Struthio camelus: one gene and its partner. The protein of the gene in region 2 interacts with the protein of the main gene of each other region in a biochemical or structural test. Links are inferred from orthologs where the notes say so. Each region holds a gene or a part of one and is shown on either strand. Other genes may lie near its edges.

Region 1 (7,697 bases), on a different chromosome or scaffold from region 2:
GTCTGTGTTTTTTCATGACCCTCATTGTTTAAGAGGTAGGACACAACAAACCATCATTTCTTTTAGGAATTTATCACAATCCCTGTAATCGTCTTTGTAGGGTCTGGGCTTGAATATTAAAACTACTTGTAGGCAACTATAGAAAGATAGTGAAACAACATTGGTAGTTAGTCCTGACTGGCTCTTTAGTGCCCCTGTGTTTTGTACTAGAATCCACAGAGAGATCCCAGGGATAGGTTAGTTAAGAAGAGAGCCCAGAGATTTCAAATTTAATGACCTAACTGGGGGGAATGGGCTTTGTTAACAGCCAAAAATCAAAGAGGTTTAGTGTCCCTAAAATAAATAAATGTTGGGCAGCATAGCAGGTATTGAATCTGGAAAATTTGGCTAGCTTTTGTAGGACTGAATCATTAACATTGCACATTTTAAAGTTGCAAATATGTAATTAGTGCTGTGGTTTTGAACTTTGCTGAAGAGCAAGACCTGAATTTAACTCTCATTCAACTTATTTTCATCTGCATATTAAAACAAAAGGCGTTGCAGGTTTGTAGGAATTATTTGACATGGAAACAGCAGCTTGTGTGCTTGGGAATATGTTATTCTTTTGCTACATACTGTTAACTTCATATTGCCTTGACCCTGTTTGAAATGTGGCAAAATAAACAGATACTCAGAGTTACAGTGTTCTTTTTTGTTTCATGAGAGTATTAAAAGCATGAAAGTAGAATGTTGATTATCTGTGCTGGTGCTATAACTTCAGTGTTGCCAGCTAACTGGCACAAGGCTTTCACTTTAATTGCTAGTAGTGACCTCATCCGGAAAAGTTTCCTTGTCTTTGAGTTCAGTTGTGTAAATCTTAGTTTATTTTTTATTATTTTGTATCTTTATAATGACAAGTTATATCCTTTTACATATTCTGACAGTAAGGATGTATTAAGTCCACCATGGAACGGGCGATACTGCTTTGCCATGGTGCATTAAAGGTAGGTGAGTTACAAGAAAGTATTTCCTTTTTAAAAATGCCTCAAACCACTGTCTCTTCAGTCCCAGAACTTTTATTTGTGTATTGTATTATATTACAAAAGTTTTTATAAACATTTATAGGTCATACAAAAACTCCTGTGAGTCACTTTTCAAGAAGGATTTCTGGCTCTTTGTAATTCATGGAGCTTTCTTTGCTATTCCGATGTTTTTAAAGAGGAAATACTAAACCTGCAGAGAAAATAGAGTACTGTGGAATATGCTAGGTCAGAGAATAGAAGAGCTGTAAGTGCTAAAGAAACCTAATGAAATTATTCCCTAGAACTGTAATTTTTAATTTCAAACAATGTATGCATCCTGCTATTCCTGCTCAGAACTGGATGTGCACTACCTTTTTAACAAGAGGTTCAAAATGTATTTTCTAGGTCTCTGTATTGCATATGAGGTGTTGAAAATGGTGAATATAACAGTTTGATAATTTAAATATTTATTTGTCATTCAATAATTTGACATTTTCATAGTTTTTTTTTTTTTTTAACTTAATCTCATACCTCTTTCTGGGAAGGAAAAGTGACTATTTTGTACTAAACTGTAAATTAATGTGCTTGTTAAAAATAAATTGCAAGCATTTGGACAAAATGGTGCATTTTGGTTTTTTATCTGTGTTTGAGATCTTTTTAGCTAAGCTATATGGCAAGGGTAGCCTGTATACAAATAAATTGCAAACCATGTAGGTAATTTTGTGCAGGAACTTAAAATAATTTTTAGGAGTACCAGGAACATGTAAACCTGTGCTCTATTTCTTTCTGTGTTCTCCTGTAACTTTATAAAAAACATATGTGTAAAGACATTGCTGAATGTCTGCAGGAGTGATGGGAAAAAAATCACTTTCTGCCCAGTTATTTGTCAGTATTTTATATCTATGTATTTATACATATCTGTAAAAATCTTTTTCCTTTTCCTTAAGTCTGAACATCTCTTCTTTGGCAATGGTGATGCTAACTGCCTCTAGACACTTGCAGATTTTTTTTTTCCGGCTTCTACTGGCATCAGCAGTGCCTGCTGCTGATATGGTGGGCTAGGTGACTTGCTGAAAATATTGATTATCTACCTGCAGAAGTACTCACCTCAGGATGTTTTCAGAAATCAATAAACTGTACGCAAGGTACTCTGAAGTTTGATACTGCCACCCACTTTAGAGAAATGTGCATTTCCTTGCTGTCTTGTGACCCGGACAGGAGAGCAGTGCCTGCTCTCTGCAGTTGTCCAGCATGTTCCCCTGGGAAACCTGGTCTAACCTTCATTGCCTACATGTCTTAAGGGCAAATGCAGGTATCTGCCCTGCTAGTTCATGGGGTAAAGGTACCCTGTCCTTACCACCCACAGGTTAACAGATATGCGGCCTCATTTTAACCAGGCGCTAAGAGAACTCACTGCATTATCTGATGAACCAGTTCACAAAGTGGTTGGGAAGATGGTTGTACTACACCGTCTTCCTGGAGGAGGGAAATAAGCACAAGCTCCTCTAAAGGAAGAATTTGTCCCTCACAGTACAGACCTTTGGGTCTGTCTGCAAAAAAAGCTGACAGAAGGGAACTGGGTGCAAATACATTTTAGGCTTCTGTTATTGACCTCAGGAAATGTTTTTAAGTTTTTTTTTTTTTTTTTTTTATGGTGGCAGAATCACAGCGAGGCAGCTCATGGGCCAGGACTGATGCTACAGGAAGGGAACTGCTGAGCTGCAGGGATGGATCACTTGGGGATGGGGGTGCCCAGGACCCTGGTGGCAGCCAGAGTGGGTGGGCTGGGGCTTGGAGCTGGGTCTGCAAGGGGCTGCGGGCCACATCGGAGAGGCACCAGGTGGGTACCAGGGAGCCAGCGGGGACTGAGAGCTAACGTGGAGCTGTCCGAGGCCCCAGGCCTGGAGGGGGGCAGGTGGCTGCGGGGAGCTGGCGCCTGCTAGCGCCGGTCCTGAGCAGGCATCAGCCGCCTGCCCAGTGCTGCGAAGCCTGTGCCGCTGCCCCGACCCCTGCCCCCCCGCACGTGCCAGTAAACCCCCCAGGGCTTCTTCCAGAGGAAATGCTCTCCCCCCCCCCACCCCCAACGGTCCTAAACTGCTTCCTTAGAGGATCAGACAAAAAAATCCACTTATAAAACTGAGCTTAAAAGAGACCCTGTGAGCCATCAGCTGCCCCACTAGGGACTGTGTCCCCAGGGAGGGTCCTGAGGCCCCCGTGCAGCCGGGTGCTAGCGGTACCCAGCAGGACTCACCAGGACACCTGGCTGCCACTGCAGCAAGGTGGCCGCAGTACCCAGCGGTACCCAGCCCGGCACCAGTGGTACTCCACCGGTATTCCAGCTTTGCTCCAGCCTGATATTTTGGTACTTTTTTGAGGGACTCTAGATCCTTCTCCTACTCCAAAACGCCCCCCTCCCCTGCATTATTTTCCAGTCCTGCAGATCCAAGCTGTCACCCAGCCTGGGACATGTTCCCCAGCCGGTTGCACCCCGTGGGGAGATGGGCCTAGATGGAGCCGTCGGGCCGCCACAGCCCTGCGTGCAGCAACGAGGCCAAAGGGGAGCACAGCTGGATGGGGCCCAGCTCCGGTGGTGCTCAGTGCTGGGTCCAGGGCCGGGACGGGTGCTGTCGGGCTTGGGGGGCTTGGGACTGGGCCCGCTGCCCCCAACCATCACAGCGGGGCCACCCCCGCCGGCAGGCGAAAGTCCCTGTGCTGCCGCCGGGCAGGAACATATGTGTGTTTGGAGGCTCCCGCCCCTAAGCTGCTTTTATTAATTTGTAATCCCCTGCGAGCAGGAGGTAAAGGGATTCGGGGGATTAACGGGCTCACAGTAACAACCACAATTATCAGCTCCGGCTGCCTGGGGCAAGCAGTGCGTACGCATGCACAGAGATGTACGTCCTGCCACACACGCATACACCCACCCACCTGTGTGTGCACACTCTTCTGCACGCACAGATGCACACGCACACAAATACAGACACGTCCTCACAGCAGCAGGCACACCTGCACACACGCACCTGCCGACGCGGAGCCCGGCACACCCCTGCATGCACACCCACGCACAGACACAGCCTTGTGCACACCCCCCCCACCAGCACACGTGCACCCCTGCACACACCAACACAGCTGCACGCAGCTGCACGTGCAGGCCAACGCGCACACACGCCCGCACGCACACAAAACTCCCCATAGCCCTGTGAGCGTGCACACGTGTGCCGCCTGGCCCACACATGCGTGTACACACACGCACCCTGCACATGCGTGCACACACACACCCGTCACCATGTCCCCCCATCGCCACTTGGAGCCCGTCACCCCCCGGCCTGAGGGCTGCTCGCTACCGATGCGGGGTGGGGGACGGTTCCCCACGCCCACGGGCGGCTTCGGGGGGGCCGGGCCCGGGGCCGATGCGCCCCCGCGGGACGTGTGGGGACAACCCCCCCCCCCGCCGCTGCCGCCTTTGTGATGCTAAAGACCCCCTCGGTGTAACTCGCCCAGCTGCGGCCCGGCCCGACGGCGCGGTGCCGCCCCCGGCCCGCCCCCCCCCGCTCCGCGCCGGCCCCGCTCCGCTCCGCCCCGGGCGGCGGCCAGCCCCCGCCGCGCTGCCCTGCGCTCCCCTGCGCGCCGCTCCGCCACTCCTCCGCAGCCCGCCGCGCACCTCGGACGGCGCCCGGCGCGCCCGCGGGGCCGCGATGCTGCTGGAGCGGGTCCGCGCCGGCTCGGAGAAGGCAGCGGAGCTCTGCCCCTTCCCGCGGAGCCCAGGTGAGGGGCGGGGGGCGCGCGTAAACCGCCGCGTCCCCCCCGCGGAGGCAGCGGCGGCGGCTCTGCGAGCCCCGACGGGAGCGGGGCGGCCCGAGGGAGCCGTGCCGTGCTCCCCGGGGCACCGTCGGGCCGCGGCTGGCGCTGGCTGCAGGAGAAGGCGGGCGGCCTGAGGCCGCGGTGTGAGGCTCCCGCCCGATGGCTCCCCGCCCGCCCGCCCCACGCTCCCTCGCTCTTCATCCTGCCTCTTCCCCGAAATAAGAGACAAACCCCGCAGCCGCCGGTGCCGGGCTGGGGCTGGGCACGGCTGCTCGCACCCCCCGGCGCCTCCGGCCCCGCGCCCGCTCCAGGCGCCCGCGCCCGTTTCCGTCCCTTTCGTCCCGTCGGGTTTGAGCTCGGGCTCCCCGTTCCCCGCGCAACGAGGGCGAGAACGAAACGCGGCGTTTCCAGCCGCCGGTTCCTCCCCGACGGCGGGCACCCCCTGCGCCACCCTCTCCGGCTCCGGTCGTGTTTCCCCCGCAAGGAAACGCTCCCGTTAATTCCTTTGATAAACGGGTTTTTCTCCCCCATTTAATAAACGGAGAAAGCGCCGGCGCTGTCGGGGTGGGGGAGAACTGCGCGGGCTTTTGCGCGCCCCGGGACCGCCCGTTCCCTGCATTTGTGCGGAGCCGTCGCGGGCCGGGCCGCTGGGTGCCGGGACCGGCGGAGCGGGGGCAGAGCCGTCCCGGGGCATCGCCCGGCTTTCCGCAGGCGCCTGCCGCCGCCCCGTCGGGCCCCGCGCTCGCCCGCGGCTGAGAGGTGTCTTAAAAACAAAATAAAGAGGAGCCGAGGCCGGAGAGGTCCCGGTCCCAGCCACGCTGCTCCGCGCTGCTCCGCAGCCCCCGCCCCGGCCCCGCGCTGCCCCGTTTGCGGCGGGAGCCGACGGGACGGAGCCGGGCTTGAGCCGGCCGGGCCGGGCAGCCGGCAGCCCCCGCCGTCGGGCCGGTGTCCCAGCTCCTCCCCGGTCTTGGCGCCCGGTCTGTCTTTCCGGTGCGTTGCCCGGCGGCTCTGCGCGCTGCGGTTGTTGCAGCCGCGGGCGACGGCGCGTTTGACGCCGCAAATCGGGAGATAAGTTTTGCTGGAGCGGGAAGAAGCGAAACAGCCGCAAGTGGATTCACGGTACAAGGAAGTACGCGGAAAAGCCATTTGACCGCAGCACCCGGCGCCTATGAATAGCTCCGCGGCTCCCGGGCTCGCCAGCGCCCGCGGGGCCGCCGCTTCCGTCGGGGCCGGGGCCGGGCGAGGCACCGGGCGCCGCGGAGGCTGCGGCAAACGGCGCCGCGGGGCTGAGCGGAGCAGAGCGCCCCAGGGCACGGCGGCGGCAGCACCGGGGCCCGGCGGGGGCCGTTCGTTCGTGCCGGCCGCGGTGGGTACGAGCCGCTCGGGCGCTTTACCCCGGGGAGGGTAAATCCCTGTTTCTCCGCGGCCCGAGGAGGCGGGCAGCGCACAACGAGTTCCCGGGAGCGGTGGGTGCTGCCCCCCCAGGCGCTCCCCCGGTGCGGCCCCCGGGGCCGGCCCGGCCCCCTGCCCGCCGCCGGCCCCGTCGGGGGGCGGCTCCGCCCGGCTTTCGTTTCCCGGGCGCCCCGGAGCCGCCGTCCTCCCACCGTTCCCGGTCGCCAAGGGGCGGCGGGAGGGGATGTGCCCCCCGGCTGCCGGCCCCGGGCGGGGGGGGGGGGATTAAATATAGCGCCCTGGGATGCTCTGCCCGGCGCTTCCAGCCGGCACCGGGCAAGGGCTGGGGGCTAAAAATAACCTGCTTGAGCGAATTAAATCCCTGGCGCTGCTGGGGGGGCAGCGGCGGGGGGTTATTGCCGCCGTGATCTGGGGGGGGGGGGGGGGAGCTCGGCGCCCGGAAGGCCTGGCGGGGCGGGGGCGCCTCGGCTCCGCACCCCAGTCGCGGCCCCGGGAGCGACGGGGCGGGCGGGCGGCGCCTGCCCGGGCGCCGTCGCCGGGCTGGGGGCGGCAGCGCGGGGGCTGTGCCCGCGCCCCGCGGAAGATGCCCCAGCCCCAGGGCCCCGCCTGAGAGAGAGCCGCAGCCGCGGCCCGGCGAGGCGCCATGCAGCGTAAGAGCCGCGGAGCGCGGGGTCGTGCCGCGGAACCGTGCCCGGTGCTTTGCCGTGTAACCGTGTCCCGGGGCCGCGCCGTGGTACCGTGTGCCAGGGTTTTGCCCTGTTACCGTGCCCGGTGCTTTGCCATGTTACCGTGCCCGAGGTTGGGCCGCGGTACCGTGTCCCGGGGCTTTGCCGTGTCACCGTGTCCCGGGGCTGTGCCGTGTTACCGTGCCGCGGCCGTGCCGTCTTGGGCCGGGGGCCGGGGCGGCAGTGAGGAGCCCCGTGGCAGCCTGGCTCTCCCCGGGGCAGCCGGGCCGAGCCGGGGCCAGCGCCCCCGGGGGCTGAGGGTCACCGCTGCTCCCGCGGCTGCCGCTGCTGTTGCTGTTGCTATCTGTTTGAATGTGGTTGATTGCTGAGGAGATTATTATACCTACAACGATATTTTCTTTACCTCTACACCTATCTACCACTATGCATCTCTATGTATGTCTTTATATAGATATCTATATATATGGATATCCATATAGCTGCATCTATCTATACCGATATAGCTATACTGGTATATTTCTGTATATCTGTCTGCCTCTTTTCCTATCTATAGCTATACCTATATATCGATATCTCTATAGCTATATCTATATAGCTGTATATTTTTATCTATGAATAGTTATACGTATTCATATATTTTTATATTTATGCATCTGTCTATTTTTGTATCTTTATCTATATCTATTTATATCTGTATCTATATCTATATCATCGCTACCGGTATCTGCAGGGCGACGAGGCAAGCCTACAGGGTTTTTATTTTCTGTACAATTCTCATTATTTTTGATAATTTTTT
Region 2 (7,237 bases):
CATATCTTCTTGAAATGATTTATTAGCAAAGCCTCTCATCAACCCAACGTTATTTCGCTTGGAATCGTCGTCAGCATGACGTTTGATCAGCATGATGCACCACGTTTGCTCAAGTAAAGGCCATACATTGCCCCCCAGGTTTTGCCATCCAAACAGGGCTCAGCCTTTACTTGAGTCTTTTGTAGTCCCCTGCGTTATTGCAAAACGCGATGGAGCTACCTGCTCTTTTGCAGACAGGCTTGTGCTTGTTCTGCCCGCTCTCCAAGCTGGCTGGGGATTAATGCGCTCGCTGTGCAGGGACGGCACCTGAGTGAATCCGGCACGGTCTCTTGAGAGTGCGGCGCTGCCTAACAAGGAAGTCTCCGATCTGAACTTGCAAATCTGGCAAATCACTGAAAACTATTAAAAATCCCTCTTTAAGGTGCAAAGATCACCTCCTCCAGCTCTTTAAAATTCTTGGATGCCAGATTGTCTGATTTAAAAGTGACCAACTTGAATATCCTCCGGAGATATTGTTTGAATGGAAAATACTTTGCCATAGTCATAAGACATAAACCTCTGTCCTCCCATCCCAAAAAAAAGAAAAAAAAAAAGTGAACCTCCATCCACTTGTCTGATCCAGGGAAAGGCCTGTTACCGCATGGTAAAGCAACGCGGTCAGTATTGACACAGAGAAAAGAGCAAAGTTATATCCTTAGGCTTCTTCTTCAGCTTGTTCCAGGCTGCCACATTAGAGTAAATTGACTTCATTTACCTGTTTAGTATCTGGCTCTGCTAATACTTCGAGTATACAAGGATTTGAATTTGTCAAGTCTTTTTTTTTTTTTGCTTCAGCTTTAGAAACTCCCCAGAGATTCAAATTTTACTCTGCCTCACTGCATTTGGATTATTCCTTATCTATATTGTGAATATATTATTTTAATACCTTTTTAGACAAAAAAACCCCCCATTTTTCTCATCTATCCCTGCATTCCATATAACCAGTTTTTAACACTCTGGGGGATTTGAAAGCAAATTTGTTTACCCTCATTGAAAGGAAAAGACATTAAACTTACCATGGAAAAGTGTTGTAATTCTCTTTCGCTATACATACATTATCAAATCGAAAACACTTAAAGATGAATTGCGCCATGCTTTTGCTATAGCTTTTGGGTTTTCTCCCTATACTGGAAAGTTCTCTATGCAAAGATGTTTCCTCCTCCTACAAACTCTCTGAAATACACTGCTCCACTGAGCCTCACGTTTTCAACGCTGCCAAGGAGGTACGTGGGCACAAGCCATTAAATGCCGTTCATATCCACGGGACGCTGACATCCAGTGAGTGGCTCTGAAGGACCAGAGCTTATTCCGCACCTGCTCGACCCTGTGACGACACCTGCAAATAAACGTCACCAGTTCTTGCTGAGGTGGGGAGGGAGGCGCTCGTCCCTCCTGGTCGGCCCCAGGCCCTAGCTGGACGTTTTTCGTGCTGCAACTGAGCGCGAGTCAGCCGAAGTCACCCGCCGCCGCTGCGCGTCGCTGGGCCTTCGTCTCCCAGCAAACCGCCAAACGTCTGCCTTAAGCGTCTGAACTCACCCGCAGAAGTAATGAAAAACGCGTTTTATTCTTCTGCTGCTTTTCATTCGATGGGCTGCAAGACTTTCAGGAAAATTAATCAACGAAATGCGTTTTATTGAGGGAAAGAGACAAATGAATAAAATTGCTTGCCAGGTGAGATCATAAAATATGCTGAGGCCGTTCCAGGAGCGCGAACCATCATCTTTGCCCTCAGTTTGAACGCTACGATACGCTCCTTCTCCCCAGGCATTGCTCAGTAATGCCTAATATTTTGCTGCATAGCTTACCGGTGTATCACAAAGCCACTTTTATCCCACCGTGACCTCGTCCGCCATTCAACGAGGCAAGGGAGAAAATACAGGATTCACTTTAATGCCTGAATCGCTTTGTCACAGTTGCGTCACCTATTTCGTTACCGTTCCTGGAGGTCTTTCAGCTGAGTACCCCGACAGGCATCCTCTTGATTCACTAATTGCCAATACTCGCCCTCAGTGGCTGCCTTGTCAATCGGCAGCACAAAGCCTTTCATGATAAAGTGCATCGATTGTGTGCGGATCATCTGGTGCCTGAATTATTGATGTTTTACAGTGGAATTAATTTTTTGGCTGTGTCAAAGATGGCTGACGAAAATTAGAAGTTTACACACACGCTCCCCCAGCCTTTCTCTCTTCACGGGATACAGTTTTTCCAGCCGCTGGCATCTGCCAGTGACAGGGGCACCGTCTACAGAGAAAAATCAGTTTGTTGTATGTCAGGAACAGCTCTATATAAGCAACGCAACTTTTGCCAATAACAAAAACTTCAGCTCATTAAAGCTGCGATTTTTTTGTGGCATTAAATTTACTTTTTCCTTTTTTTTTTTTTTTGAAATTTCACTCACATTGCACAGTACGATCAGATCTGCTAAGTGACGGTTTGACCCTCCACTAAATCCAGCCGTCATGCAGGATCGATATCGCAGCCACGATGCAAAGCACTGATCTGATTTAAACTCACTCTCCCAGCTCCAATTTGATTTTGAGCATGTAACAGGTTAACCTCCTGTCAGCAGGTTTGATGTCGGATTAGGTATCGACTCTCTGTCACGCCGAGTCCACGCCGTATCAGGTATCGTCTACCCTCCTGCAGCTGGCCTAAACTTCCGTGCTTTGTCCTCTGGCCAATGCAAGAAAAACGTAGTCGGATAGCTACATCTGATCCAGAAGAAACCGGGACCGCAGCTCTCCAGTACTGGTAATTTTGGCATCGGGACCTTAGTTTCAGCGTGTTTCTAATCCGTTCCCTTTGCGGGTGCCACGGTGTAGGGAGTAAAACTGGTGAGGAATACGCCCCGTAACAGACCGCTCTGTTCCCCAGCACAAACACTGTTCCTGGGCTTCAGCTCTCAAACCCGAGTGCAAACATTCAAACTGTGAGCACTTAAAAACACCTCATTTACATTAAACGTTGGGCCTGTGTCTTCTTTCCCATTTCAGTTTCAATGAATTTTAAATGCAACCCACCCCTAAACTTGACAGTAATCTCACTACTGTTGTAATAAACAAACGGAGAAAAGCAAAGAACCAGCGTGGTCTTCCTGAAACCACGCAAATCTCCAGAAATCTCTTTCCTCCATGCATTGCATCTTGCCTAAAACTGAAGATGAGTTTCTTGGATATCACCTCTGTTTGATTTTTCCTAGGTCCTTTTTGAGATATTTTTAAGTTAGGCCAGTGGGATCTTTCTGGATTTTGAGGGAATCCCTTCTTTCCTCTATTGGAGACAAGCCTGCAAAGCCTTGCCGTTTCCCTCTCCTTGAACTATGGTCAGCAGGGCACTCCAGCCCCCTCGGGCTCAAAAAAATCGAGACTAGTTTTTTCTCTCCTGGTCTTTGCTGCCCTACTTCTTCTCAGCCACGCTTTTCTTCCCACTGTGTCTTATCGATTCCCGATTTTCCTCCTCTGCTAGGATGTCACAAGGGAGACGCGCTTATCCGGGAAGCAGCCTAGGTGGGATTTATAGTTTCAGTGGGAGGGGAGGCACTGCGGAGAAATTTGTTTTATTGAAGAAAAAAAAGCAAATCAAAACCAAAAACAGGTTCATAGCACATGGCAGGGCCAGCATTTAGGGCTAACAACGTTAAGACAGGCACATCCAGCTTTTGCACGGTGCGACAGTTGTCTCTAATGGATGACAAAGCGCTTGACCAAGGAGCTGGGCAGCCCGTGCCCCGTTCGGCCGTGAGGGCCGGGGCGAGGGGCCGCGGCGGAGGGGCAGCCCACGGCCGGCGACAGCCGCCAACTGCCTCGCCAGCCTCGGCCTCCCGCCCCGCTGCCCGCCATTCCCGGGGCGCCCCCAGGGCCCCGGCCGCCGCGCTCTGAAATGGCCCCCGCTGCGCGCAGGCTTCGCCGGCGGCGGGACGCGGGCGCCGCCGCCGCTCCCGCGCCCTCCGGCCCCGCTCGCCGCCACCGCGGAGCCCCGGGCGCCCCCGTCAGCCCGCGCCCGCGGGCCGTTGCGGGCAAGGGGGCGGCGGCCGCCGCCGCCGACCAGCCCCACTCCCGCTCGCAGCCTTTGCCCCTCTTCAAAATGGCGGCAGGCACTCGTTTCCCCCCCCCGCCACCCCCAGGGCCGCTCTATCCGCGCGGTCCTCCACGCTCCGCTCGTTAGGCCGCGCTTCTCCCCTCCCGCCCCTGGGCGGGAGGCGGCGCATGCGCAGGCGCGCCCTCGCCTTCACTTCCGCTGTCGGCGGCCGCTTCCGGGCCCCCGTTCCTTGGTAACAATGGAGCAGAAAATGGCCGCCTGAGAGGGGAGGGAGGGAGGGAGCCGTTGCGACTGTTTGGGGACGGACGGAGCGGGGCGAGCCGGCACCGAGCCCGCTGAGGACCGGGGAGAGCAGCGGAGCGAGAGCTGGGGAGGCGGCGGCGGCGGGCGGTGAGTATCGAGGCCGGAGGCGGGCGTTCAAAATGGCCTGGAGAAGGGAGAGGCCCAGGCCCAAGGGGGGCGGCGGCGGCCTCCTCCTCCCGGTGCCCGGGGCGGCCGGCGCTGGCGCGGGGCCGGGCGGGCTGCGGGGGGCCGGGCCGGGCCGGGCGGCTCGTGGCTACGCGGGGCCGCGGAGGCCGAAAGCGTCCGGCGGCGGCGGCAGAGGCGGAGCGGGGTGCCGTGCTGGAGCCAGGGGCGGTGATGGCGGTGTGCGGGCGGGTGTGCCCGGGGCGCCGCCGCCGCCCTCCTCCTCCTCCCTCCCCGGCTCCCCCCTAGACGGGCCTGGCCTGTGGCCGCCGGGGGCTTTTCCCCCGCCGTCTCCGCCGGTGTGCGGCAGCGGCCTCTCGCCGAAGCGGCGCGGGCTCTTGCCTCCGTCTGGAGCCGGAGGAGGTTTGCGCTCCCGCCTCGGGAAGGGCCGCTGGGCCCCGCACCGTCTGGGGAGCCGGCTGGGCTGGCAGAGGAATCACAACCAGGCCCTTTTCGGAGAGGGGGTTGAAGGGAGTAGGGGGAGGAATTACAGCCACTGCCCTGGGCCTCGCCGTACCGCTTAGTGCCTCCTGGAGGATTCGTAGTTCTTCAGGACCGGGTTTTCAGTTCACCCTCCTGTGACTGGAGACAAGAAACACTGTTTTGGGAGAGGGGCAAAGGGAGTTTGTACTGCTGCCTCTCCTATAAGGGTCTTTAACTGCGACCTGTTAAAATCTGTGATGTTTGCCGTTCCTGTCCTGTTAATTTCTCTGCGCTTAGTCACGTCATCTTTGCTCTGTCACCTTACCTTCCCGTGTGTGAGTCCCGCCTTCCCTTTTTTTTTTTTTAATACTTTTTGCTGACATTTAGGGTTTTTGTTTACCGTGTTTCAAAACCGTGGTCAAGAGCACTGCACGTATATTACTTTTATTTTCAGTGATCTTTAATGAGGGAGTAATATCTGGTTGTAGTGTGTGTAATTATTATTTTTTTTATGCAATTTGATCTTATTGTGTAGAACAGCAAGCCTGCCAAAAAGTTTCACAAAAAAATACTGTATTTTTTGAATAGCTTTAGTTTCACTGTTTTTTGAGAAGATGCAGGCTTTATCCAGAGAAGCTTGTCTTTGAGTAAACAAGCCTTCAAACTGGATTGTATCCAAATAGTACAGTCATGCATCTGATTTATTTCCCCTATCCAGATTGTCAATTACTGGTTAATTTCAAGTTGGAAGTCATCATAAAAATGCTAAAGAAGCTCCAATACCAAATTGTCCCTGGATTTTAATTGCAGTGACTTGACAAGTCTTTTTGAAAAATAAACAGTTGGCTGCTGCTTGTGCAGTTAATTATCTTAATTGGGTGTCTGATGCTTAGTTTTGTTGTAGTGGTCAACTAGCACCTAAAATGACTGTATTCCTTGTACAGGTTTACCATTTTGGAACAAAAAGAATTATAGCTTGGAAATTCTGTCTTGCCTGCTCATGACAAGGGGAAAACACCACATGCTGTTAAATTAAGATGTTCTCATTATGTCAGACCGCAAAAGCATGGTAGTTGCAACATTCTTTTCATCAGCAGTTCTGACTGTATAAGTGTTTGTCTCTGAAATAACCGCACCAGCGTCTTTTTAGCATGCAGTGATTGTCATTCGTATTGTATTTATACTCCATATTAATAAATTCATAGACATACCAAGGTACGCTGGAAAACAGTGTTACAAGTGTTTGGCCTCCATTATGTGTCTCTTTGTATCTGTATTTTTAGGGGAAGGGGCAGTGTGGTCCCTAAATGGAGACATTTGTAGAGCACTTACATATCAAGGTACTTGAATAGCTTATTCCTGTAGTGCTCTTCCCCATAGGAATCTATCAAAATAAATTCCTTGATCTTGATAGAATGCTTGTAGTTGTGGTGGAGGTTTTGCACGTTTTTTTTTTTACAGCTGTAGCTTAACATAACTTTGTGTAACAGAGCCTAAAGATTGCATTTAAGTCCAATTTAAAGGTATGTTGTTTAGTATATGTTATTAAGCTGCTCTATTTTTTTTTTTGGTAGAGAATTCAGTGTCCGTGTATTAAAACATTAACAAGAATATAAGGTATTTATCTAAGTTTATGAGTGTGTATAAGCTGATATATTGCAATGTACCTTTTAGTCTCAGTCTTCATGACTCTTTAACTTGAAAAAGCATAGCCTCGAAGGGGTAAAACAAAACATGAACATCCCTGTCCTCGAGATATCTTAATATGATGGTCCTGTGTATCTCAAAAACAATACTTGAATATAGTGTAGCAGTGTAATAGCTTAGAGAGAGGATCTTCCTTCGATGTGCAGAATAGCTAGTAGCATCACAGAGACTCCATTTTGCTTTTGAAAAGACTCCTGGCTGCAATGAAGAACATCAGAAGCACAGGAGGCTGTATCTCCATCGTATTGTCCAGGCGCTAGCTATTAGGTTTGGTGGGTTTTTTGCACTGATCCAGATTGTGGAAGCTCCGTTTCTTAGTGAGGGCTGAAAAGTTGCACAGTTTTGTAAGAGCAGCTAATAATAATTGAATATGTAACAAAAGTCAGTGCACGTTTACTTTCTCTAAACTTAGTAACTTAAGAGCATTACCTTAGAGCAGTGTTAATTTCAGTATGCAAGGTGTATGTGCATGTAATGTTGTTAATGAAATGCTTGAGCCTGCCTACCTTAGTCATCAGAAAGGAACTTGCAGTCTTAGAGACGTGTTTAAATTCAAATGAGTTTT

Evidence for each region.
Region 1: the proteins of RLIM (region 2) and LHX3 form a complex in vitro, tested with the Homo sapiens proteins (2 studies listed by BioGRID). The link is inferred for Struthio camelus from reciprocal best matches to the Homo sapiens genes RLIM and LHX3.

The regions. Positions count from the first base shown.
Region 1 is NC_090961.1:3,432,482-3,440,178, reverse strand, and holds the start of LHX3 (LIM/homeobox protein Lhx3), read left to right. Parts: upstream 1-4,696; coding exon 4,697-4,766; intron 4,767-7,697. UniProt on the Homo sapiens protein: Transcription factor.
Region 2 is NC_090952.1:7,277,443-7,284,679, reverse strand, and holds the start of RLIM (E3 ubiquitin-protein ligase RLIM), read left to right. Parts: upstream 1-4,236; 5' UTR 4,237-4,467; intron 4,468-7,237. UniProt on the Homo sapiens protein: E3 ubiquitin-protein ligase.